3 linked regions of the Bombyx mori genome follow. The protein of the gene in region 1 interacts with the protein of each later gene in a pairwise test. Links are inferred from orthologs where the notes say so. Each region holds a gene or a part of one and is shown on either strand. Other genes may lie near its edges. The genes, in order: protein bicaudal D, Chc and ras small monomeric GTPase Rab6.

The links.
Region 2: the proteins of protein bicaudal D (region 1) and Chc interact in binary tests that used the Drosophila melanogaster proteins (3 or more experiments, as listed by UniProt). The link is inferred for Bombyx mori from reciprocal best matches to the Drosophila melanogaster genes BicD and Chc.
Region 3: the proteins of protein bicaudal D (region 1) and ras small monomeric GTPase Rab6 interact in a two-hybrid assay, tested with the Drosophila melanogaster proteins (3 studies listed by BioGRID). The link is inferred for Bombyx mori from reciprocal best matches to the Drosophila melanogaster genes BicD and Rab6.

What each region holds. Positions count from the first base shown.
Region 1 is NC_085125.1:2,136,167-2,144,174, forward strand, and holds the end of protein bicaudal D, read left to right. Parts: intron 1-287; exon of another isoform or gene 288-905; intron 906-2,597; coding exon 2,598-2,858; intron 2,859-3,576; coding exon 3,577-3,743; intron 3,744-4,703; coding exon 4,704-4,778; 3' UTR 4,779-7,019; downstream 7,020-8,008. UniProt on the Drosophila melanogaster protein: This protein is essential for differentiation. It may play a role in localizing of Nanos (a maternal determinant) activity in oocytes. Functions redundantly with BicDR.
Region 2 is NC_085122.1:8,777,987-8,786,464, reverse strand, and holds the start of Chc (clathrin heavy chain), read left to right. Parts: upstream 1-3,264; 5' UTR 3,265-3,425; intron 3,426-3,579; 5' UTR 3,580-3,649; coding exon 3,650-3,691; intron 3,692-5,157; coding exon 5,158-5,383; intron 5,384-8,478. Other genes in the region: ubiquitin recognition factor in ER-associated degradation protein 1, read right to left, coding at 1-62, 154-156. UniProt on the Drosophila melanogaster protein: Clathrin is the major protein of the polyhedral coat of coated pits and vesicles.
Region 3 is NC_085111.1:16,051,184-16,059,719, reverse strand, and holds the start of ras small monomeric GTPase Rab6, read right to left. Parts: upstream 5,487-8,536; 5' UTR 5,360-5,486; coding exon 5,290-5,359; intron 4,940-5,289; coding exon 4,881-4,939; intron 1-4,880. UniProt on the Drosophila melanogaster protein: Protein transport. Regulator of membrane traffic from the Golgi apparatus towards the endoplasmic reticulum (ER). Mediates membrane trafficking during egg chamber growth and organization, possibly upstream of exocyst component Sec5.

The sequences.
Region 1 (8,008 bases):
GGTGACCTACATGGCAGTGTATGGGTTAATAATCTTACCGGTGGTAGGACCTCTTGTGAGTCCGCACGGGTAGGTACAACCACCCTGCCTATTCCTGCCGTGAAACAGTAATGCGTTTTGGTTTGAAGGGTGGACAGCTGTTGTAACTATACTGAGACCTTAGAACTTATACCTCAAGGTGGGTGGCGCATTTACGTTGTAGATGTCTATGGGCTCCAGTAACTACTTAACGCCAGGTAGGCTGTGAGCTCGTCCACCCATCTAAGCAATAAAAAAAATATCGACAGGTCCCGTAGCTTCGATTTGTGAAAATCGTTCAAAAAAAGCAAAAGATATTGCCAACATAAAAATAAAAATGGCTGACGAAAGAAAAAAAAGTAATACAAACGTAACTCAATTAATCTGTAACGGAAGGAACGTTAAAGAGCTTACCGATTATTTTGAAAATATCACCGGTCTCCAATCGAACAGAAATTATATCGATACAGCGTTGAAACGTGCGAACTACAAAATCGATTCTAGTTTGAAGCATTCGAATAATTGCTTCGCACAATATAATGCCAAAAAATACGATACTAAATTTAATGGCAAAAGAAAACAGTTTCCCATAGCGAAGTCGCAAATCTCGAATCCAAATTTATCTCAATATCGAAATAAAAATCTCAGTTTGTACTCGATATGGAAAGATAAATTGTACAAGAGAGCATCTTTAGACGATGAGATCGATATTAAGAAAAGCGATCCTAAATCGTACAACTTGAAAGCATTTGTGAAATCGACTGTACTGACGTGCGTTTACGTGCTGCAATACATTCTGTGATCCCGAGCTCGTCCCGCGAAGTATAGTCCGTCAGATGCGGCGTGGCGCCCGGGACAGTTGTCGGCGGGACGTCATTAGGAAATAGGTTTGATATAACAAACCATCTGTCAAACGTATCACGCTGTAGTTAACGAACTATAACTATATAGTGTATTTAGATTTTTAATACGCTTTTATTAGCTTCAGACGTATGTATGTTTGTAACGGAATCTATGAACATGATTTTGACCCCCTTCAAAACGTCGGATTAACTCGAAATTTGGTATACTTATTAAGGACCGATGACAATACAATATTAGAAAAAAATTAAAAAAATTGATATTCAACTAATGAATGAAAAATATATAATAGTTTTAAAATACTAACAAAGCACGCTTTTATAGAAAATCCAACTAAAAAAACAGAAAATAAATTTTAATAAATTTGAATTAAAAATAATATAAGAAAAATGATTTTATTGTAAAAAAGCGTGGGGTGCATGGTATAAGTAGTTATAAATATTTTATAAACAGACATGAGCAGAAGGGTTATTTTGATAATATCCTGAAAAGCACCTCACGCTTTTTTACAATAAAATAATTTTTCTTACACTATTTTTAATTCAAATTTATTAAAATTTATTTTCTATTTTTTAGTTGGATTTTCTATAAAAGCGTGCTTTGTTAGTTTTCTTAAACTATTATTTAAGATAAATTGGGTTGCATCTAAGCAATGTTCTAGTTAGTTAGTGGACAGTTTACAGCTGTAGTGATTGTGTAGTAGAATTATCGATAAAGAAAATAAGACTGACTCGTTGGTGCAATAGTTAACGGCCTTGACTGTCGCGTCGAAGGACGTGGGTTCGATTCCCGCACCGGGAAAACGTTCGTGTGAAGAGCAAATTTGTTTGCTCATTATCTGGGTGCTTATTATCTAACGTCGTCGACTAATTTAGAAGTCGTCGTGGCCTAAAGGATAAGACGTCCGGTGCATTCGTGTTGAAGCGATGTAACGGTGTTCGAATCCCGCAGGCGGGTACCAATGTGGGTGTTTTGTTCCTAGGTATTTATTATTATTTGAAGAATTTTAATAAGGTTCATTTCACCCACTCGTCATTGTTGGGTTTTGAAGATTATATCTCCACGCCCTCACTAGTAACCAAAGATAATACGTGTCTGTGTGTCGTTAACTGCGTGCGGGCCCCGGCAGTCATGTCCCGCAACCCCTTAACTTGTTCTTCACACTGCCCTTCATTCACTCATGTTCATTCTTCATTCGTTCATTCAGTCGTAGAACCTTGTAGATTTTGATCTGAAAAATGAGCACCTACTGCCCATTCTTTATCTCTGTCGTCGCAAAGTGTGCAGTGCCTCGCGTCGCAATGCACACGCCAGGTGTAGTCCACAGCAGTCCGGGCCGAGTCGCCAGCCAGTTCCCCTTATTGAACTGGTGATTTACTGGTGGTAGGACCTCTTGTGAGTCTGCGCGGGTAGGTACCACCGCCCCGCCTATTTCTGCCGTGAAGCAACAATGCGTTTCGGTTTGAAGGGTGGGGCAGCCGTTGTAACTATATTGAGACCTTAGAACTTATATCTCAAGGTGGGTGGCGCATTTACGTTGTAGATGTCTATTGGCTCCAGTAACCACTTAACACCAGGTGGGCTGTGAGCTGGTCCACCCATTTAAGCCAAAAAATAATAATAGTGTAATTCAATTTGACATTGTTTTGCAGAATTCTAATATACCAGCACTTAGTAGTCGTTTTCTCGACCTCATCGAGAGTTTAATGTGCTCGCAGTGATGGAGACCACGGAGGAGCGCGGCGCCGAGCTGGCCGAGCTCCAGGAGCAGGTCATCAAGCTGAAGTCCCTTCTGTCGACCAAGCGCGAGCAGATCGCGACGCTGCGCACCGTGCTCAAGTCCAACAAGAACACGGCCGAGGTGGCGCTCGCGAACCTCAAGTCCAAGTACGAGACGGAGAAGACGATCGTCACGGAGACCATGCTCAAGCTCAGGAACGAGCTGCGCCTGCTCAAGGAGGACGCCGCTACGTTCTCGAGTCAGTACTGGCTTTTTTTTTTTTGCCGTTGTAGGCGATCACTAAATACTTAGAGGCCCGACACGTTGGACTGACCAGATCCGCACTACCCTCGATACCACAGTTCACGATGCTCTACACTCGGCGGCAGATAGAGGGAAATGGCGTGGAATGATCCGGAATAAACTCTTGTTGCGAGGGGGTGGTCACGACCCTCAGTATTGAGGAAACCAAACTAAGAAGAAGAAGGCAGACGAGCATACGGCCCACCTGATGGTGAGTGGTTACTGTCGCCCGTGGACTTCAGCAATGCCAGGGGCAGAGCCAAGCCACTGCCTACCGTTGAAAATGTTTCAAGGTGGTGTCTCAAAGTCAACATTAGTTGGGCTATGAGCTCGTTCACTCATCTTCTTCTATCTATATATAAAAACGAATTGCTGTTCGTTAGTCTCGCTAAAACACGAGAACGGCTGGACCGATTTGGCTAATTTTGGTTTTCAATTATTTGTGGAAGTCCAGAGAAGGTAGGAAGGTAGATAAAAATGAAAATGCTCTGAATTAAATAAAAATAACAATTTTGTTTTTCCTCTGATGTGTCCTCCGTCGGACGGATTCCTTTTGTTTTAAGTTTATGTTATACAAAAGCTTAGGTCTTTTATTTATCGATTGAGGCACTACGAAGTCTGCCGGGTCGGCTAGTGTGAAATAAAATAGCTAGATGTGTGAGCGTCCGTTCCAGGCTTGCGTGCCATGTTCGCGGCGCGCTGCGAGGAGTACGTGACGCAGGTGGACGAGCTGACGCAGGCGCTCTCCGGGGCCGAGGATGAGAAGAAGACCCTCAACCAGCTGCTGCGCCTCGCCGTGCAGCAGAAGCTGGCGCTCACGCAACGGCTCGAGGAGCTGGAGGTAATGGTCCTACTAACTAAATATAATAATAATATTAATTTACTCCACAATACAAATAACTTTCCAATTGACATGTCCTTCTTCAAACGAGGCTTGTGGAGAGTATTAAGCAGTAGGCAGCGGCTTGGCTCTGCTCCTGGCTTTGCTGAAGTCCATGGGCGACGGTAACCACTTACCATCAGGTGGGGCGTACGCTTGTCTGCCTACAAAGGCAACAAAAAAAAATATATGACCTAAATTTCTAATTATATCTAAACAATATTACAATTAATTATACTGACAGTGGAGATAAAAAGGCCGCGGCCCAGCTTTGTGGTAGCTGAAACTATCGCTGCTATTCTGCCGCTGCCTGTAATTTTAATCTATAAAATAATAAACTAAACTAATAAAACTAAAATAATATAGACTAATCTATAAAAAATAATCTAATAATACCTAAATTTAAACATGTGGCATAATCTACAAAATCCCTGCCTCCGCACTTTGTTGCTCAAGTAGAAATTCCCTACAAAAATATTTGAAAGGGTTAACTAACTAAATATAATAATCCGTCGACATCGAGCCAAAGGGTCGGATGTTCAAGGGTGTTTGAGATCATGTCCATCATACGAGCAACACACGCCGCGTCGGACACAACCGTCTAACCTCAGATGTAGGTAACCTGATTTAGGACTGGTGGTAGGACATTTTGTGAGTCCGCGCGGGTAGGTACCACCGCCCTGCCTATTTCTGCCGTGAAGCAGTAATGCATTTCGGTTTGAAGCGTGGGGCAGCCTTAACTTAACCACTTAACACCAGGTGGGCTGTGAGCTCGTCTACCCATCTAAGCAATAAAAAAAACATGTGATCAGACTCGATATGTTCGCGAATGCCGCGTCACGTAAGAGGAACTAGACATATTTGTGGATTGCTGCGTCACCGGTCCGCTGTGACGTCATCTGACAGTGACGTGTGTCGCAGGTGGACCGCGAGATGCGCTCCCGGCGCGTGCCCAAGGCGGGCGGGGTGCGGGGCGGCAGGGGGAGGGACTTCTAGCGACTGCTGGCGCCGGTCAAGGCCGTCGCCGTCCTGCTGCGCCGTCTGCTGCGGACCTAGGGCTCCAGCCTCACCGGCCCGGTCCCCTATTTGTACGTTTTGTAAACTTTTTAATGTAATGTGAATCGCGCCGCACGTCCGGCCCCCGTCGCGGCGCCGGTCCGGGCCTCGTCCGGCGCCGCTGGAACGGTCAAATTGCGGCGGGCTGCCGGACGCGGGCGCGGCGGTCCCCAGCCCGGGGCCGCGCCCGGCCTACCCCTTCCCTTTCCTCGGGACATATTTTCGTATCGATTTCTTCACTCGATATCGCGCGTCGACGCGAATCGATTATTTTTGTAACAGGACCGGTGTATTTTGTTAAGCGAATATTTATTGGCGCCGTTGTGGTCCGCGGTCTCCCCGCGCGCCGGACGGACGCGGCCCCCCGTTACGTCCAAATGTGAAATTTCTAAAGAAAAAGAATCATTATCGTCGACATCCATCCATTGCGTGCGCAAAAAGACTATGTAATCTGTTTACCGGGCGACGCGTCGGTCGCGTCGTCTCTGTCTCGTCCATGTTGTTGTAGTCGTGATGTTTGAGTTTGTTGGTGGATCACTGTGCCGTCCCAGTCGCGTCCATGCTGTCCACGCGCCGGCCGACTCTCCGTCTCTGTCGCACCCCCTCTGTCGGCAGTGTCGACCTCTCGCTCGCACAGCGCTCAACGCATTGCTCACGGAGTCGACCGGCGCATCTATTGATAAGTCGAAATTTAAAAAGTTATTGAATGTTAATGGTTTCGGTTGAGTCGCGCCGGGGCGCCCCGGCCTCCGCCCCCGGCCGCCGCCCCGGCCAGTAGAGTAGCTAGTAGCTCGCGACAGGCAGCTAGCCCGCGACTTGCATTTATTGTTTAACATAGTGTTTGTTAAATTAGACTAATTATTATTATATTAGGTCGTTCTTCGTGTACTTAAAAAGACGAACTTACCCGTTCTATACATAGCTTTAGCGTATCAAGTATTCTGTCCCCTCTACTAAGTATTATCGTTAGCCGTCGGTCCCCCCGCGTGGGGGGCGGCCCCCGACCCGAGCAGCGCGGCTCTGATATGTTTATTGTATTGGTTGTTAGTTTTGTTACTAAAAGTATTACTGCATGTGTTTCCGCATCCGTCTCTTTCTCATTGACATTGTTACATTTAGACTGACATGTTCTTTTACACGGTTTTCTGGTAATATTTATTATTAAAAATAGTTATTTATTTGACTTAAATATTATAAATAGATGTTGTATATTTTTCATTATTAAGAATTAGATAAACTTTTTACTATGTTTCGTGCAATGAAAGAAAAAAATGTTTTTTAGTATATAGTATTATTATGTATAGTACAGATTCAGTATTTTTTTGTTTGTTTATGGTTTACTATCGCTGTTGTCTGCTGTATGGGGTTAGAGCGATTAACCAAATATTATTATTTCCTTTGTGTAACAATTTTTTAGTACACTTATATTTGTGTAGGCATATTATTATTTTATATTGATTAGAAAGAGAACTTAGTGAAGAATTATTGATTTTGTTATTCGAAGATTTTTTTATATAGTATATTATTATCGGTGCGGCGTAGACATGGTCTGTCGGACGAGCGCGCATGAATGTTCCCGGTGCCCTGTCTCTGCTTTCTGCGACCTGTGGTTGTTAACTTTAAAACACCTTGCGAGGGCCGAAAATTAAATATTTATTATCGAATTTAGGGACAATGTTCCGATTAATAATTTAGTGCGTTTTTCGCGAAGATTGAGAACCAGCGATTTGGTAGTTTATCTATGATCAAGGTCCGCGTAGGGTCGCACATCGATGGCCCGACGGACTTCTCAGGCGACGCTTCGTACAGATTACAAGTCTTTTGTAAAAAAAAACGCTTACAGAGCTTTCAGTATGCAATAAGTGTTGTGGGACAACAAATTGTATACGTCACATTCGCACTGTTAAATATTCCAATAGAGCTTAAGTAAAAAACGTTAAAGCTCTTTCACTGCTGCGGAGGGTAGATTGCCCTCAACATGGCCGCCGTCAGTTTCGCGTCAGTATCGCGTCAGTGTTGCGTCAGTATCACGCCAGTGCATCGCGGTGCGAATGTCGCGCGTTGTTATCGGGAACATATCATGGTGGAACGGATTTATTTTTTTGACCCGTCTGAAGGCGCACATGTCACAATGACTGATATAAATCATGTATGAGATATAATAAATTATTATTATATTTATATGTTTTGTTTCAATTACTTTCGATTCAGATTTTAAAATGTATAACTATAAAAGACGTTGATCGATTTTAAGTCCTGTTTTAGAGACGATAAAGATGACTTTACGTACGAAACCTTTTGGCTATCAAAAATTTAGATAAATTCAATGCCAGTTAAATAAACTATGTACCTACTCGTAATTGACTGCATATTACGTATTTTGAAATAAATTAAACTAGTTCTTTTTTTTTTGACTGACTAGGCTTTGTTACGTTACTTCCCACATGAACACTTCCTAAGGTGAGATCGTGGTGGTACGATCGGCTCACCAGGTTTTAAGTGGGTACCAAAGCTCTTGGACATTGCCACGTGAAACCCACCGTCGTCCTTGACACGTGAAGTCAATTACCAATTTAGTCTCAATTGTAGTGTTGGCGCATCCTCTAAAGCAGTACTACTCTTCTGCATTAGTTGAACGAGCTTCTGGTAGTAGTAGTAATAGTATTCCACATGTGACGATATCATTGTACAATTTTAATTGTAATCGATTATTAACCCTATCCAGCTTTCTGTAGATCTTTCTTTACCAATGTATCCATCTTGAAAGAGCTACAAATCAAACATAAGGCTTTCGTCGATTGCGCAATTGCGAATCCTTCATATGTTTGGACATATCATCTGTAATGAAAGCTCATTTGAACGACAAATGGATCAAGGAAGCGTATCTCACAAGGTGGACAGACTTGATTAAGTAATCTACCAAAGTGTTCCCTTACTGAATGTACACGTACCGCCACCAATAGAGAGAGATGGAGAAGAGAGAGGCCTCGCAGAAGCCGCAACCAAGTAATAAGAGATGCATAACCACGACCACTCCGCCGGGAGTGCACGACTGAGAAGAACCTTTCTGTCGCCGACACGCGTTCTCTCATCAACGTATTAAGGTAAGTTAAACAGAGTTTCGTGTATAACATGAATTGAAACCAGGACAATATTTTTAGCTTCATCTT
Region 2 (8,478 bases), on another chromosome or scaffold:
CATCTATAAGTCATATTAAATGGCCTAGATATTTCGTGAAACATATTGAATCCGAATTGAAACTGAAAAGATATGTTTAGTTTAGGGATTTCATTAATACGTGGAATCTCTTAAATTCGTTGCCTTGTCATGATTATTAACAAAATAAATTACCATTTCGATTTTCGTTAGTTTAAGCAGATATCTGAACTCTTATTTGTAAGTATTAGAAAATTAATTTAATGCAATTCATGCACAATGTACAAAAGTTCAACACACTTGTCTTTACTTAGCGAGCAAATCATTTAACATTTACAAAACATTAACTTTGACATTTTTGACAGCAGTAGTCTTCTATTTTTGTAACGGTAAAACGCAAAGGTATCATACCACACATTCAAAAATGATTTGAGACTTCAGTGGACTTTTTAAAAGAACCCGAGAAGCCACTTCCAGCGGCATTGTTTTATTTTTCCATATTTGTGAAGTTTCACAGATGCTAAACAGTTAATAAATCACTGTGTCATCTACACGTTTAAACCTGAATAATCTAAATTATCAAAATAACACAGTTCATTTAATTCGGCAACACTTTCCGCTGAAAGGTCCTACAGTTAATTTTATGCTTAAAATGTTACCTTTTCCTAACAGTCTATGAAACTCAGAGAAAAGAACTATGAAAGAACAGTCGGAGTCAGAGTTTAACGTTATGTTGAGATCAACGGAGTGTGGCGAATATAATGTCCACGTCTAGATTAGTTCACGTAGAACGACTTCAACCTAAATATTTAGAATAAGTAGGAATGGAGTTGAAAAATATAAAACGAATGATAGCGGACGTTAATAGAAGAAAATAGACCTGAAAAAACATGTGATTGATATTATATCATACAGATAATCGTGTTTAATTAAATCCTATATGTCGTCTCAATAAATTATTTGAGGACGAATATGATTTGGATTTTAACAAATTAATGAACTTTGATTTTCGCATGGAAAGCGAGATTGGAAAGCGAAAATTTCAGCGAGATTTAATCATAGATTTAAATTTAAAACAGAACTCTAAGCCCAAACAAACTGCTGGAACGCATTCTGGCAGCCCGCATCATCCAGCATCTGATCGGGGTGGGACCCGATCTGTCGGCGGAGCAGTATGGCTTCCGAGAGGGCCACTCAACGGTGGACGCGATCCTTCGCGTGCGGGCCCTCTCGGAGGAGGCCGTCTGTGGGGGTGGGGTGGCCTTGGCGGTGTCGCTCGACATCGCCAATGCGTTTAACACCCTGCCCTGGTCCGTGATAGGGGGGGCGCTGGAAAGACACGGAGTGCCCCTCTACCTTCGCCGGCTGGTCGGCTCCTACTTGGAGGACAGATCGGTCACGTGTACCGGACACGGTGGGGTCGTACATCGGTTCCCGGTCGTGCGCGGTGTTCCACAGGGGTCGGTACTCGGCCCTCTTTTGTGGAATATCGGGTATGACTGGGTGCTGAGGGGTGCCCTCCTCCCGGGCCTAAGCGTAATATGTTACGCAGACGACACGCTGGTCGTGGCCCGGGGAGGGAGCTTTGCTGAGTCTGCTCGTCTTGCCACCGCTGGGGTAGCGCATGTCGTCGGCAAAATCAGGAGATTGGGCCTCGACGTGGCGCTCAGTAAATCCGAGGCCATGTGGTTCCACAGGCCCCGGAGAGTGCCACCTGTCGATGCCCATATCGTGGTTGGAGGCGTCCGGATCGGGGTCGGGGTGCAGTTAAAGTACCTCGGCCTCATTCTGGACAGTCGTTGGACCTTCCGTGCTCACTTTCAGCACCTGGTCCCTCGTTTGTTGGGGGTGGCCGGCGCGTTAAGCCGACTTCTTCCCAACATCGGGGGGCCTGACCAGGTGACGCGCCGTCTCTATACGGGGGTGGTGCGGTCAATGGCCCTATACGGAGCACCCGTGTGGGGCCAGTCCCTGGCCGTGGGGGTAGCGAAGTTGCTGCAACGGCCGCAACGCACCATCGCGGTCAGGGTCATCCGTGGTTATCGCACCATCTCTTTTGAGGCGGCGTGTGTACTGGCTGGGACGCCGCCTTGGGTCCTGGAGGCGGAGGCGCTCGCCGCTGACTATCAGTGGCGGGCTAACCTTCGTGCCCGGGGCGTGGCGCGTCCCAGCCCCAGTGTGGTCAGAGCGCGGAGGGCCCAATCTCGGCGGTCCGTGCTGGAGTCATGGTCCAGGCGGCTGGCCGATCCTTCGGCTGGTCGTAGGACCGTCGAGGCGATTCGCCCGATTCTTGTGGATTGGGTGAATCGTGACAGAGGACGCCTCACTTTCCGGCTCACGCAGGTGCTCACTGGGCATGGTTGCTTCGGTGAGTTCCTGCACCGGATCGGAGCCGAGCCGACGGCAGAGTGTTACCATTGTGGTTGCGACTTGGACACGGCGGAGCACACGCTCGTTGCCTGCCCCGCATGGGAGGGGTGGCGCCGTGTCCTTGTCGCAAAAATAGGAAACGACTTGTCGTTGCCGAGTGTTGTGGCATCGATGCTCGGCAACGACGAGTCGTGGAAGGCGATGCTCGACTTCTGCGAGTGCACCATCTCGCAGAAGGAGGCGGCGGGGCGCGTGAGAGACGCACAAGCCCGCCGCCGTCGAGCGGGGGCCAGGGAGGCGGATCTCGCCCTAGCCCTGGCCCTCTAAGTGTTTCGGGTCCCCCTCATATGTCGGTCTGGGGCCCGGCGAAGGGGGCCTAAGAAGACGACGTGCAAGCTGCTCTGCACGCGTTTTACGCAAGAGCATCCGGGTGATGGAAGGCCGGCTATCCTTGACCCACGCTGGTTCTGACCCAGCGGGGTATTTCGTAGGATAACCAATTCAAACCGGCGCCATCTAGGCGGGCTTCGGACAGCCTGCCGACCGAGAGGGCTGGTGGTCGTGGCGCCGACGATCGCTGGCCCGGCGTCCCGAGGGGGAGGGTGATGGGAGAGATGTGCTCCGCACTAAACGCTTCACTCTCCTCCCCTTGCCTTTTCATGAGTTCTGTCTCATGCGAGGGTTGGACGTTGGTTGTTGAGCGACAGGAGGTTTTAGTCGGTTCGACTCCGACATGCCCCACCCTCCATCCCCAGTGGAGGGTGGGAGTCCGGCGATTTCCTCCTGACAAAATAAAAAAAAAAAAAAAAAAAGCCCAAAAGGGTACTAAGGGTATTATATGAGCCATGCTATCAAGTCTTTCAATTTTATTTTTGGAATATTTTGATTGCATCTCTAGACTACTATTAGATGCGATCGCATCATAATGAATGCAGAAATTGTGATTGAAGTTTATATCATGCTTTCTCTTTCTCTTTTGTCTACCATTTCATTCATTTGTATATGTGGCATCCGAGGGTGTACATTATTCGTCATATTACTCCGAAACAGCCAAATTTATCCGCCCCTATTCTTCTTCATGTAGAATTCTAGAAGTTGTAAGTACGATAGGTCATCTATCGTTTATAATCAGTAAATTGTTTTTGTCGCGATCCGGTCGTTGTCATTTCTTTCTCTAACGAACGCCATGTTGATTGTCAAAAGTGTTTTCCGATGAGACATCAGTGAAATTGATTTGTGCTATCTTTTCAGAGTTCGCGATTTTAAAAGGGTCGCCCGTTTTTTCGTTTTCGGTTTGTGTAGGACGGAGTGATCAATAAACATGGCGCAAGTATTACCGATACGGTTTCAAGAACATTTACAGGTGAGTACGCCCATCAGTTTATTGCATTTACCGATCATTTCCTTTTAGGAACTAAGGGCCCCCTAAGAAAGTGTATTAGGGATGGGTAGTGAAACTTTTTAATGAATTGATCAAAAAAATGTAAGGTAATGAATGCTTTTTTCATTACTTAGACAGTGTCCACCCCCTACGTGCAAGTCGAGTTGAAGCCAGTAGGTATTGATTTGTTCCAAATTCAATTTGCGATCATATGATTGGGGGTTGAAACGCTAGATGGGGGTTATTTTTTATTAAACGCGAAGTTTTAAATATAATTTTCTTTTTAATTTCAAATCTCGTGATTGTCAATGTATACATTATTGGCATCTGTGGATTTTGTTCAAAGAGGATAAGGTCTAAAAAATCGAACACTATTTTTATTTCTTTATAAAAATTCACCTACCTTCAACAAAATATTGTTCCTTGAAAAACAATTTGTGATAATTTAACTACATTCCAATTTTATCAATACTCAGGATTATAACAAGTGAAAATCGCATCAGTTCTCTTTAGTGAATTAAACCTAATATAAATTTAAAATAAATTAATGATTAAAAATAACCAAATAATTATATACCATAAGATATCTTATGCAATGTAGGCACTTGAATAACATTTGTAGTTGTAGGTAAAATATATCTTAGAATAAAAATTGATGTCTTCATCTGTAAGAAAGCTAAAGAAAACTATTAGGAGGGGAAATTAATTATTTTAACATCTTATATGTCATAAAATTTAAGAATAACATTATTTGTGAAAAATGAGTTTTAAGTGATAATTAAATGAAGTATTTTAGTATACTTAGTGGTTTTTGATTTTTTGTGTGGAGTTTTTAAATTTAGTATTTGGTTATCTTGTAGTATGTATCTAATTACACATACTATAAAGCCCTAGACACCTTTGAATTAAACGCCTTCAGCTCTAACACTAGGAGCAGGCTTAGGGACCCCGGTAACCGTACTCGTCGAACTCGGCAAAGAGTTCGCCGTGCAACCTAACCCATGAATCAGCTCGCTGAGTTTCTCGTCGGATCTTCTCAGCGGGTCGCGATTCCGATCCGGTAGTAGTTTCATTTGCGAAGCAGCTGCTCTTGAGCTGTTAGGTCTCCTTCAGAGGCGCTCGGGTAGCTGTTAGCAAATCCCACCCCTCCTGGCTGAGCCTTTGCTCGCCCACCTGTCCTGGTGAAACTGGAAAGGCCTCTGGGCCACCAGTAATCCTTCAATCATAAAAAAAAACATACTATAAAAAGAATCTCAACTAAAATTTAAGGCTCTTTTAAAAAATTGTGTTCAAATATGATATATTCATAATTTTATAAAACTGTTCCAAACATGTAAGATAGTTCTGTATGTGATTTATTTGTATTATATAACATATTAATTGCTCATCTGAACATGGAAGGTTGATGGAACATGGAACATGATTCTGTTAAAAAATGTTTTTTTCAGCTTACCAATGTGGGAATCAATCCTGCTTCTATTTCTTTCAACACTCTCACCATGGAATCGGACAAGTTTATCTGTGTTCGCGAGAAGGTTGGTGAGACTGCAGAAGTTGTCATTATTGATATGGCAGATCCAACAAATCCAATTCGACGACCAATCAGTGCAGACTCTGCTATCATGAATCCAGCTAGTAAAGTCATTGCTTTGAAAGGCAAAGCTGGTGTTGAAGGTAAGATAGTAATTCATCTATGTCAATATATGGTAGAATTATCTTATAAGTTGATTAAGTTTAAATTTCAATTAGTGCAGTATGTGGAGACATCAAAAAAGATTCAAATGCAGTAATTTATTTTTTATGTTTTTTATTTAAATTAATACTGACTTGTTAGTTGCGTTAGCAACTAAAAAGGGAACATGTTTGCTCACTAGGCAGACAATCTGAATGTTGCTTGGAAGTGTTTTGATTTTGTTGTTACAAAATTCAGATTCTTGCCAGTTTTATGGTAATAGTTTCTGCTGCAATTGGTTTCAAATGTAAAAGTAAATTTTGATCATTAATATATATGGCCGAAAATTGTTAGCCAGGGCCCTTAAATGTAGCAAGTTAAGAAAACAAAATTATGATTTTAACAAAAAAAAAAAAAAACTTATAATAACTTATGAGAAACAGGATTTTTACCTCTTCTTTTTAGTTTATTTTGTGTTATCCAGAGAAAAAACAAAGAAAATATGCTAGTGTGGAGCTAATGCAACACGCATTTATCTTTATTCTATAGACTTAAGGAAGTTGTGGGTTGCACAGAAATAAAGATTACATAATACTTCAAATTTCGACTTCATCTATTATAAGCTTCCAAATTCTATTTGCCTACATGTCTAAAAACGGTATGAATAAGTCAAGAAGACGAAAAACGAAAAAAAAGCGTGTATATTTATATAAAATTATACAGATGGTTAAAAAGTGAGCACAATGTATTAGAATTAAAAAAGAAAACTATTTTCATTGAGAATGCTTTTGTGTAAAGAAATGACATACTAAATATCCTGCTGGGCGTTTCTTGTTGTTTTATCATCGTGTGGTTAAATTTAGACGCGATTGTAACGCCCAACACAAAGACATAGTCCCAAGAAAGCTTTCTTTGTGCGTTAAACAGGTGATAATTACGCAAAAGGGATCTATTCAATATTGTAGTTAATATAAAAATATGATGTGTACTTATTTAAATAAATATTTATGTAAACATAACCAAAAAATTCATTACATAACACTTTTCTTTTATTGAGTTTCAATTTAATATTTTTCTGGGTTATCATTTTAATAAGTGAATCAGGACAATTAAATAATTAGAAATCGTCCTTCTAATTTCTAACACGAGTCATTCGTACCGTGTTATACGAAACAGGGTATACCGTGTAGTATCGAGGCCTTGTATTCGAGATCGTGTTATACGAAGCCCCGGGGATTTCCCTTATTGAATGCAATTCAAAAATACATTTAAATTTCCAATGCAAATTCGATATTTTGAAATCGTGTTATTTTAAAACCGTATTATAATTATTATTCTTAATTCTTGTACCGTCTAATATCGAAACCGTGTTTTACAAGTACCGTGTTGTACGCGAGACGCCTGTAATATGTAATACATATATATATATATATAAAAATGAATTGCTGTTCGTTAGTCTCGCTAAAACTCGAGAACGGCTGGACCGATTTGGCTAATTTTGGTCTTGAATTATTTGTCGAAATCCAGAGAAGGTTTAAAAGGTAGATAAATATGAAAATGCTCGGAATTTAATAAAAATAATAATTTTGTTTTCCCTTTGATGTGTCCCCAGTCGGACGGATTCCTTTTGTTTGTTTAAAGCTTAGGTCTTTTATTTATAGATTGAGGCACTACGAAGTCTGCCGGGTCAGCTAGTATGTAATAAATAAAATGACGACATTTTGTAACGAAAAGAGTCAAATTACGCCCATGATATTAACGATGTTCGAACACTACTCTTGAACGTTAATATTATAAGAATGCCAGTGACGACACTATTGAATTTGTTAAATTACTCTAGGCTTTAGGGTAATGGAGCTCACGATCCAACTATTACTAAGCTTTTTTGTCATTAATCGCGAGAGGCTATTATTCTGACTTCACCTGGACTAGTGTGCGAGATCACAGGCCTCGGCCTGAAATAATTTGCTAATACCGGGACATGTGCAAGCAGAGATATCTGCTTCACTTAATCTATTACCGGACCAGAATCTCGGCCCACTGTGAAGATCCGGCGAGGAACAGTGCATCGGCTATCGGAGCCCATGAACATCAAATCATAAATTCCACAAATACGTTTTAACCGGAATGCATCACTGCTTCTCGACATGTGGAATGGTGATGCTCGCTTTCTTGTGTAAGCTCAATACGGAAATTCAAATTGTTATTGTGCGATCCCATCAAAAAGTAGTTTGAGCACATGTATGGTACGGTCTATGTATTTAGAAAAGTCGGTACCGGTCATCGAACTCGAACGCAGGCACAGTCGCAATACACAAAAAGTTATCCACTTATCAGTTTTGTCTGTATAAGTGAACAACAATAATGTGTCATCAAACAAACAAAAAAATATATTATACTAAAAGGAAGATAAAAAATATTTTGTGTATACATATTAATTCCGTTTTAATTGAAGCTTGCTACAAAACAAAACATTACTCTTATCACATCTGTCTAGTAAATTAAAAGCTTTGGATATGTTAAGATAATAAATAACAATTTGCGATTGACGATATATACTTAAAATAAATAATCTTCAATAATTTCGTTGCGTGTTCGGCAATATCAAAATAGCTTTATTATTGTTTCGAAATATATGACATTTCCGTATTAAGGAAATTGGCTTCATTTAACTTGATGTGGCCAAGTCGCGGATTACGGTGAATGGCGTCTAAATCAGTTGATTTGTCGAAAATTATTGGTACAAATTGGTAGTAAGTAAGTACCTAACATTTTGACATTGACTGATAGAAAATTCATTATCGGGCAAAGTCATCCCTGAACGTTTATCGGCTTTTGTTTGATAAGAATTTGCAAATTTTAATGTATATGAAATGTACACGACATTATTTACACAAATGTTTGAGCATAATACAAAATCTATGAAGATATTATCTGCATTGCAGTTTTCTATGACGTAACGCATATACGCAGGCGATCGATATGTACATTTGTCCAAATATGTATGGACACAAATTGATTTATATATACGTATAAAATAAATATATTTATTATATTCTTGGTTACATCACGCACATTCGTGCCTCCGTTTGGGGAA
Region 3 (8,536 bases), on another chromosome or scaffold:
CATAAATGAAAGTCCACGAGGCTGAGGACTGCGCCACCTCAGTGAGTGAGTCTATAACCATGCCGAACAGAAAGGGACTCAGTACTGAACCTTGATGCAGACCTTCTGCAACTGGTATTGGTTTTGTCTGACCCACTACTGTCCGTACCATTGACCTCGCATCCCTGTACATGTCAATTATGACGTTAACATAATGTTCGGGTACATTCTTCTTGCGAAGGCTCCACCAGATCGTATCTCTTGGCACACGGTCAAATGCCTTTTCCATGTCTAAGAATGCGACATACAATGGCCGAAGTTTCGCACGATACTCCTCAGCGATCGTATTTAGAGCAAACATAGGGTCGGTGGTAGATAAGCCCTGTACAAAACCATAGTGATTTTTGGATAGTGAACACTCTGATCTTAGGCGGCTGTCAATCACTCTTTCATACAGTTTCATAGTATGGCTTAACAGCTTGATCCCGCGATAGTTGTTACATTCGTACTTACTGCCCTTCCCCTTATAAATAGGAACTATGGTGCTCAATCTCCACGCCGCTGGCATTTTGGAAGAGCGCAACACACAGTTGAAAAGTTTGGTGAGCGTTTCGATTCCGTGCTCACGAAGGCACTTCCAAGCTTCCACTGGAATACCGTCCGGTCCCGTGGCTTTCTTGTTGGCCATCTTTTCTAACGCCATTTTGACCTCATTTGGACGTATTGGAGGTATAAGCCCAATGTTCCTGCCCACTTTTGTTAACTGTATAGCAGCTTGAGTAGGGTTCAGTAGCTGTTCATAATATTGATGCCAAGCTGATAGTACATCATTATCCTTATACAGAAGCTCACCATTTGGATCTTTAACAGCCCGACATCTAGTGGGATCCCTCGTGCTCCAACAACGCTGTTTAGCGAGCTTAAATATACATTTTTGACCTTCTTTTGTTTCCAGTTGCTCGTACATGGTCTTTAGGGCAACTGCGCGCTCCACTGCCACTATTTTCTTAGTCTCCTTCTTTATTCTTTTATATCTTTCTTGGTCTTCAGAAGTTTGGGTGGACTGCCAGGTCTTAAAGGCATCTTTTTTCCTTTGAATGGCATTTTGCACTGCTTCTGTCCACCACCAAGTCTCTTTATTGCTACCACCTTTTGTACCACCTTTTGTACGACCAAGAGTAATATTACCAGCTTTTACAATGGATTTGCTAAGGTGATCCCATATATTGTCAATATCCAACTCAGTATCAACTTTCAAGTTGCTCAGATGGTTACAGAATTCGGGGCCATTTAATTTATATATATATTTATATTTAGCCATACCATCACTATCACTACATAATATAAAACAAAGTCCCTTTCTCTGTCCCTATATCCCTATGTATGCTTATATCTCTAATACTACGCAACGGATTTTGATGCGGTTTTTTTTTAAAAGATAAAGTGATTGAAGTGAGAGGTTTATATGTATAATAACATCCATTAAATAGTGGAAAAATCAATAATAAATTACAGTTTCCTAAGCGAAGCGAGGGCGGGTCGCTAGTTTATGCATATTATATAATATTGTGACAAACTTTCGGAAAGCCTAAGAACGCAATGGCACAATCTGTCTTGAACTTGAAACTTCGCATGAAAGACACGAAGACAACGGACCACAGATGTAAATGATCTCAGAAGTAACATTATAGTGGGATGCAAGTTTAATTTTAGGTCGACGAATTATCAGTTATGTATATGAATTGTTTCTACGCGTATCTTATTACTTAAAGTACGGTGATTCCCATCTCCAAATGCTTTAAAGTAATACACTGAATGAACAATTCAATATTTCCATGATATCCTAACTGAATATTCTTCTCAATCGTATCACTCTTGACAGAGTGGTCCTGATCGTGATGTAGTGTTGGAAGAGGCAGACTTGATGCGTCTCACGATGTCCCGCCATCTCTCCCTATTCGAGCCCATTCTGCTGCACTCTTTTAGGGGACCTCCCACTGCAGTTTTAATTTGGTCGGTCCACCGCATTGGTGACCTCCTGTGCGGTCTTGTACATCAACCCTTCCCTGTACAACGAGGCGTTCTATAGACCCCTGACTGAATATATTATAACCTTAGAAGACAACCCTTGGGGCTCAATTTGAAAGGTCATTTCTATTTGCTTTCTAAATCGTAAAAAGTGAAATTGTCTACATTCTAGTGGCAAAAACCTGTTACAAAAGCTCTGTAATAATATAATCATGTTAAATATTCATGAGCTTGCATGACTAACGGTGATGATGTAATCATTGTGTTTTGATGTGATGCTATAGATTGGTCTGAATCTTATATCGGTGATTTAACTTTAAAATGCTTTTTTCGCACACCAATGAATTCGGGAGGGGCTTCGCCGTGGGAGTCAATAACGTGTAGTGGGTAGGCAGCGGCTTGGCTCTGCCCCTGGCATTGCTGAAGTCCATGGGCGACGGTAACCACTCACCATCAGGTGGGCCGTATGCTCGTCTGCCTACAAGGGCAATAAAAAAAAAAAAAAAAAAAAAAAAAAAAAAAAAAAAAAAAAAAAAAAAAAAAAAAAAAAAAAAAAAAAACACAATGAAAACATTTTTTGAACAATACATCATCGCACATGGGTGGTCGAGCTCACAGCCCACCTGGTGTTAAGTGTTTACTGGAGCCCATAGACATCAATAACGTAAATGCGCCACCCACCTTGAGATATAAGTTCTAAGATCTCAGTATAGTTACAACGGCTGCCCCACCCTTCAAACAGATACGCATTACGGCTTCACGGCAGAAATAGGCGGAGTCGTGGTACCTACCCGCGCGGACTCACAAGAGGTCCTACCACCAGTAATTACGCAAATTATAATTTTGCGGGTTTCACTTAAATTACACAATGTTATTCCTTCACTGTGGAAGTCAATCGTGAACATTTGTTGAGTACGTATTTCATTAGAAAAATTGGTACCCGCCTGCGGGATTCGTCTTATCTCTTAGGCCACGACGACTTCAAAACAAACATAACTTACAAGCTTAATCGTATTATACCAAAAATCTTCTTTATAGTGCAGAATTAAAAAGCAACATCTTAGTAAGTAGTAACCACTCTAGGAGATTAGGAATTATCAAATTAGATAGGAAAATAGATGGGGCTATTGTTACATCGAGGTGATGATAGAGAAATAGCAGCAGTAGCTCCTGGATGCTGCACTCGTATTATCTGAGATCTTAGAAGAGTTATGGATGCCTTGTGTGGATTCGATGTTGAATAATACAGGGTGTCGTGTCCATTGCTAAGCCAAAACAACAATAAACTTCTAGCATAGAGTAGGTAAATGGAAAATAATATTTATAAATAGGCAAAGACAAGAAGTTCTTGTTGTCTTGTTTTTCAGCTGACTTTCATGTCACCATGGTAAAAATGGAAAATTCTTGTTGGCACTTTTACAAACCAAATGTCGATGGCTAACACACAAAAATGTCGCGTAATCCATTTGGTTTAAACATTTAGACAGTTTTGTAACTTCACGAGAGGGCCATTTAAAGATAAAAATTTGGAAAAAATATGCTACCGCAACTTAAATTGGAATAACATAATTGGAGTTTAATTAAAAACATCGAATTGTTGATGCTAATCTATACTAATATATAAATTTACTGTGGTTTTTACTGATGTTCCATTATAACTACTGAACCATCCATCCGATGGACTTGAAACTTGGTATCCGTGTAGAAAATACATGTACTTAATGGATAGGCTTATATTTATATGAGTGTTGGACTCCCTACACCAGTTGCAGGGGTGTTAATGATGAGAATCTTTGTGGGGGTGAGAAATAATAATGTTAATTTTAAATGCCCAGCGAAGCGGACGGGTACAGCTAGTACCAAATAAATACCTAATACCTAGATAAATGTCTCTTAAACAAATAACCCTTCACCCCTTAATATAATGAATCTAAATTTTAAAATGTCATTGATTTTATAGATGAATTTCAGCCTTTAAGTGAATACTAGTTGAATGAAATATACATTATAATGATATTTCGCATATAAATATATTGTGAGAGTGTAATGTAACAAGAAGGGAGATCACACACATTCCCTTGAGACTTCAGACAGACAGACATATCATCTTAGTTACATCTTTTTAATTACATTGTACAAAGTAATAAATACATTTGTAAAGGATAAATTGTTAATTTAAAAAACTACTGTAAGGGATTTTCTAATATGGATCACAGCAAATCAAATTCCTCAATCTGTATTAATTTCTAGACCCAATTTAAATGTGAACAAAATTTTAATTATAGTTCACTCTATTATTTTTTTGCAACCTTTGAACTTTATTCAAAACCTGTGACATCCAAAGATTTATGGGTAAAATGGACTAGAATAACATTATGTAGGAGGGGCTAAAAAGCTCTCTCAATAATCTCAAATAATGCTAGGTGCTTAACAAAAGTTTGGTGTCCACAAGAGTATCTAAGTTTTGATGGGATGAGTAAAGAAACATTAATTCTACAGCAGAAGCTAAAATTTAATAATAAAAATAAAATAGGTTAAGATATTTTATAATTAGCAATCAATGTGTTGTGGAAAAACATTTCAAATGTGAATGCTAATTTTTGTATTTTTATTACAGAACAAAAGTTATTAACAATAATAAATGTTCAACAAAAAATGCATTTTTTATTTTAAGTGATCAAGTCTTAAAGCTTATGATTATAAGTATTCAATTAAGGATAAATAATAAGAATTTACTTTGTCAAACGTATCCATAGCTGTATTTCTATGTTGATCAAGTTTAATGATGAAAATTATCAAATGTATCGAACTTAATTTTTGAAACCATGGCTTGATAGTTTATACTTTTACGACTGCATAGGTCTCTGACTCACCTGATAAGTATTGTCGAAGCTGTCGTACATGAATCTAGTGATGAGAGACGTCTTCCCAACTGAAAGAAAAACAATGTCATACCATTCAATCCCATTATCGCACTACACGCGAATTAATAAGAAAATTTATTTTCGATAGCGGCACAACCGTGAGAACATTGTACGCTCACAATACGATGAGAGAACGTAACCTACATCAGTCACGTAATTCAGCGCTCTAGAAACGAAATTACATTAAAAAACTATAATCGAAGAGCAATGAGAAAAAAACTGCCTTTAAAACCCAGCCCGGACTATCTAGGTCAGTAATTCAATAAAGTCTAGACGAATCTATCCTTACATATCGTAAATTCAAAACTGTATATTAAAAATGTACAAGAGCAAAACTACATTTTTGCCGTATACTTACCACTCTGTTCGCCGAGAAAGACAAGCTTGAATTTGCGTAAAGGATTACCAAATTCACCCGATGTAGACATCGTTATTGTTTTAATTATTACGCTAAACTATAATTTTACAGTAATCTTATCACAGAAAACTACATGAAAATGAACGTTCCACAATGACAGTTCGAACCACTCCTGCGACAGGCGAGCGCAGCGCCGCCACGTTACGGCAGACTGACGGCGCGACGAACTAGCCAACTCAGCAAATCTACTAATGACTCAACATAGCATACTGCGAACAAAAAAAAACATTTCAATTCGTATTTTAGATTGGGATCTAAAACAATGAAAATACATTCCTAATTTAAGTTTCTTTCTAAACTATGTATTTGATTTTCTTGAAAGTATATACGTTTCCGAACGATACAATTATTATTCTGATTGCAACAAAGACATCCATCCATTTTTGGGAATGATATTTTATTGGAACGAAGTTCCTTACGGCAGGCTTGGAGGAGATAGGGATTTTGCTGCGCGACCGAACTGAAAAAATGTGATAGTAAAACCGTAAGAAAAAGTCCGTGGAATAAAACCGTTAAATGAGACGTGCGCAGGCGCGACAGTCGTATACACAAGCAAATAGTTTAGAATTCCTTTCTCTTTCTCCTTCTTTCTTTTCGTTCTCTCATCCCTTCTCTCTCTATTTTGTAATTATTTCTATTTCTATGTAATTTTATGTTGTCAAACAAAAATAAAGATATATTTTGTTATTTTAATTGATAATTTGAATTAAGTTTTATTTATTTATTTTACGTAATTTATGATTTCCTAAAATATTGAATTTCCTAAATACTCTCCTGTATTTAAATAAAAACTAATCAGCAAAATTTAAGAGAAAAATCAAGAAAACCTACATAAAATTGAGCACGATTTTTTTTTTGCAAATTGTGTCGATTCTACATTAGCCGAAGGAACTTCGTTCCTACCTGGTGTCCCACGACACCACATCTTGTATTTTATAAACACATTCTTTTTTGTTAGGCATGATTGGCTAATTATTATGCTATGGATATGTTATGAATAATTTCATGGCTCACCGGGTGTTAAATTATGTAAAATGTAACTGGCTTTGTCAACCTGACGCCATCTCAATAAAAATTTTGATAAGTTACATTAACGTTCTCTATTTTTTTACAAAATAAGCTTATTTTAGTTGTCATAGTTTAGTTTAAGCATAATTAAGGGATGTGCACTCGAAATCAACCAATAGAAATCGATGCTTAAATGGACAATGCAGGGCAATGTGATATTTTCGTTAGATGTGTTTATTGCTGTGACTCGACTAGAATTGAAAGTAGGTACCTAAGTGGTCAGAACACACAGTGACACACATAATAAAACTCGTTATATTTTTGGCGGGAACGCGAAGAGTGAAGTTGTGTGATTTGTTTTATTTTGTCTATTTAGTGTTTCCTTCTTCAGGTTTAAATGTGTATTAACGGTGGTTTATTTACTGTTTCATATCTGTGAAAGTGCACAAATGTGGGAAAATGAAACAAAGCCGCTGAACGTAACTTCTCGGGATCCTCCAAAAAGTCCACTGAAAAAGTCTCAGTAAATGACCACCACCTTACTGAGATTATATTTCATCCCATACAATCTCATTTCATTTCATGCCATGTTTCATATTAATCAACTTCATTTCATTTCATTATTTAAAATAAGATTTGACCTAAAGGTCTTAGTTACCAGGTCATAAAATCCCTTAAATAGAAAAGGTCGCGCCGGTACTTATTAACTCCATGGTCGCGCCACCATAGAGTTACTATTCTAACTGGAGTGCTTACTTCGTTTGACATAAAAACTAAAAATATACTTTATCTCTATGGCTTAAAGTTTATTTTTAAATAGCAAAAGATGTAAGGAAAAACGGTCTGAAAAGAGAATGATTATTAAGTGGTGGTGTCCCTCTCACACATTTTACAAACAAAAAGCAGTGTTGCTAGCTTAGAGGATTTTCCATAAAATCTCGGAATTTGGACCCCCGTCTTAGTTATCAAAAATGGCTTTTAGTGGTTAGTGGATTTTTTAGTAGCTTGGGTGTTGTTGAAAATTATCGAAAAGTTTAAAATCAATCCACTTTACAGGATTTTAAACATTTTATGACAATAATATATCTAAATACATATTATTTAAACGATGTGACTTAAACTTAACTAGAAAATGTTGCGAGAATTTAGAATTTCCATCAACGTCAAAAATTAAATTGGTTCAAAATAAACGTACAAAGTTATGGTGAAATTAGTTTCTGATGATGACAATTTATTAAAATAAATTATATAAGAAGTATTGATTATATGATATATATTGATTTTTAATAGAACATCATATATTAATAAAGCTTATTAACAAAAAATTATTGTTCTATGTTAATAAGAACTCTGTTTAATGGAAAATTTAATGGTAGGTACGTAGATTTCTGATGGTTTTCATGTTGAATTTGGTGGGAAGCCAGATTAATTGTTGGCATCACCGAAAAAGAGCTATGAATGGATTAAAAGAAAAATGGCGTCTATTTACGTTTGTAGTGCGAAGTTAAAATGGCACTGATACAGCTTGTGGCTTGTTTTTTTTTCGAAAATCGTGAAAGTTTCCGTGTAATCATGGTGAACACTTTTAATGTAAGTGGTTTTAAGCGAGAATCGTCTCCAGTTTGTGGAATATCCTTCCATATGTCAGATTCATTGATAAATTTTTACTAGTGTGAGCATATATTTTTAAAATGTGAGATATTTTTTCTCATTATAATATTTAATACCATTTGTCTTGTAAATTGTACTTAATCTATGTCATATACTAAATTTGAAAAAACAATCGTGAAAACTATAATTTTGCAATGTATTTTTCATATTATAAGAGCCATCACGTGGTATTTTTTGAACTTTTTTTATTGTATTGAATAGCGTCGCACGGAAGCATGTATATCATTTGCCTGACGTTAAGCGAACGAGTAGGATCTTCTAGTAAATATGACGTTGGAATTTCTGGAAAATGTCCTATATAAAGGTCAAACAAGAAGTATCAAGTACTCAAACGCAAGAAATAAAAAATACCCCGAGAAAAGCAAAATTACGACAAGATGTTAAGGTATTGAAACAAAAACTTAAAAGTCGCGAAATAGTGATTGTAAATATAAAGTCGATTTTAGATTTATTAGAGAAAAATGGCGATTTTTAATTGAATTGAAATTTAAATTGCGAAATTTTAATG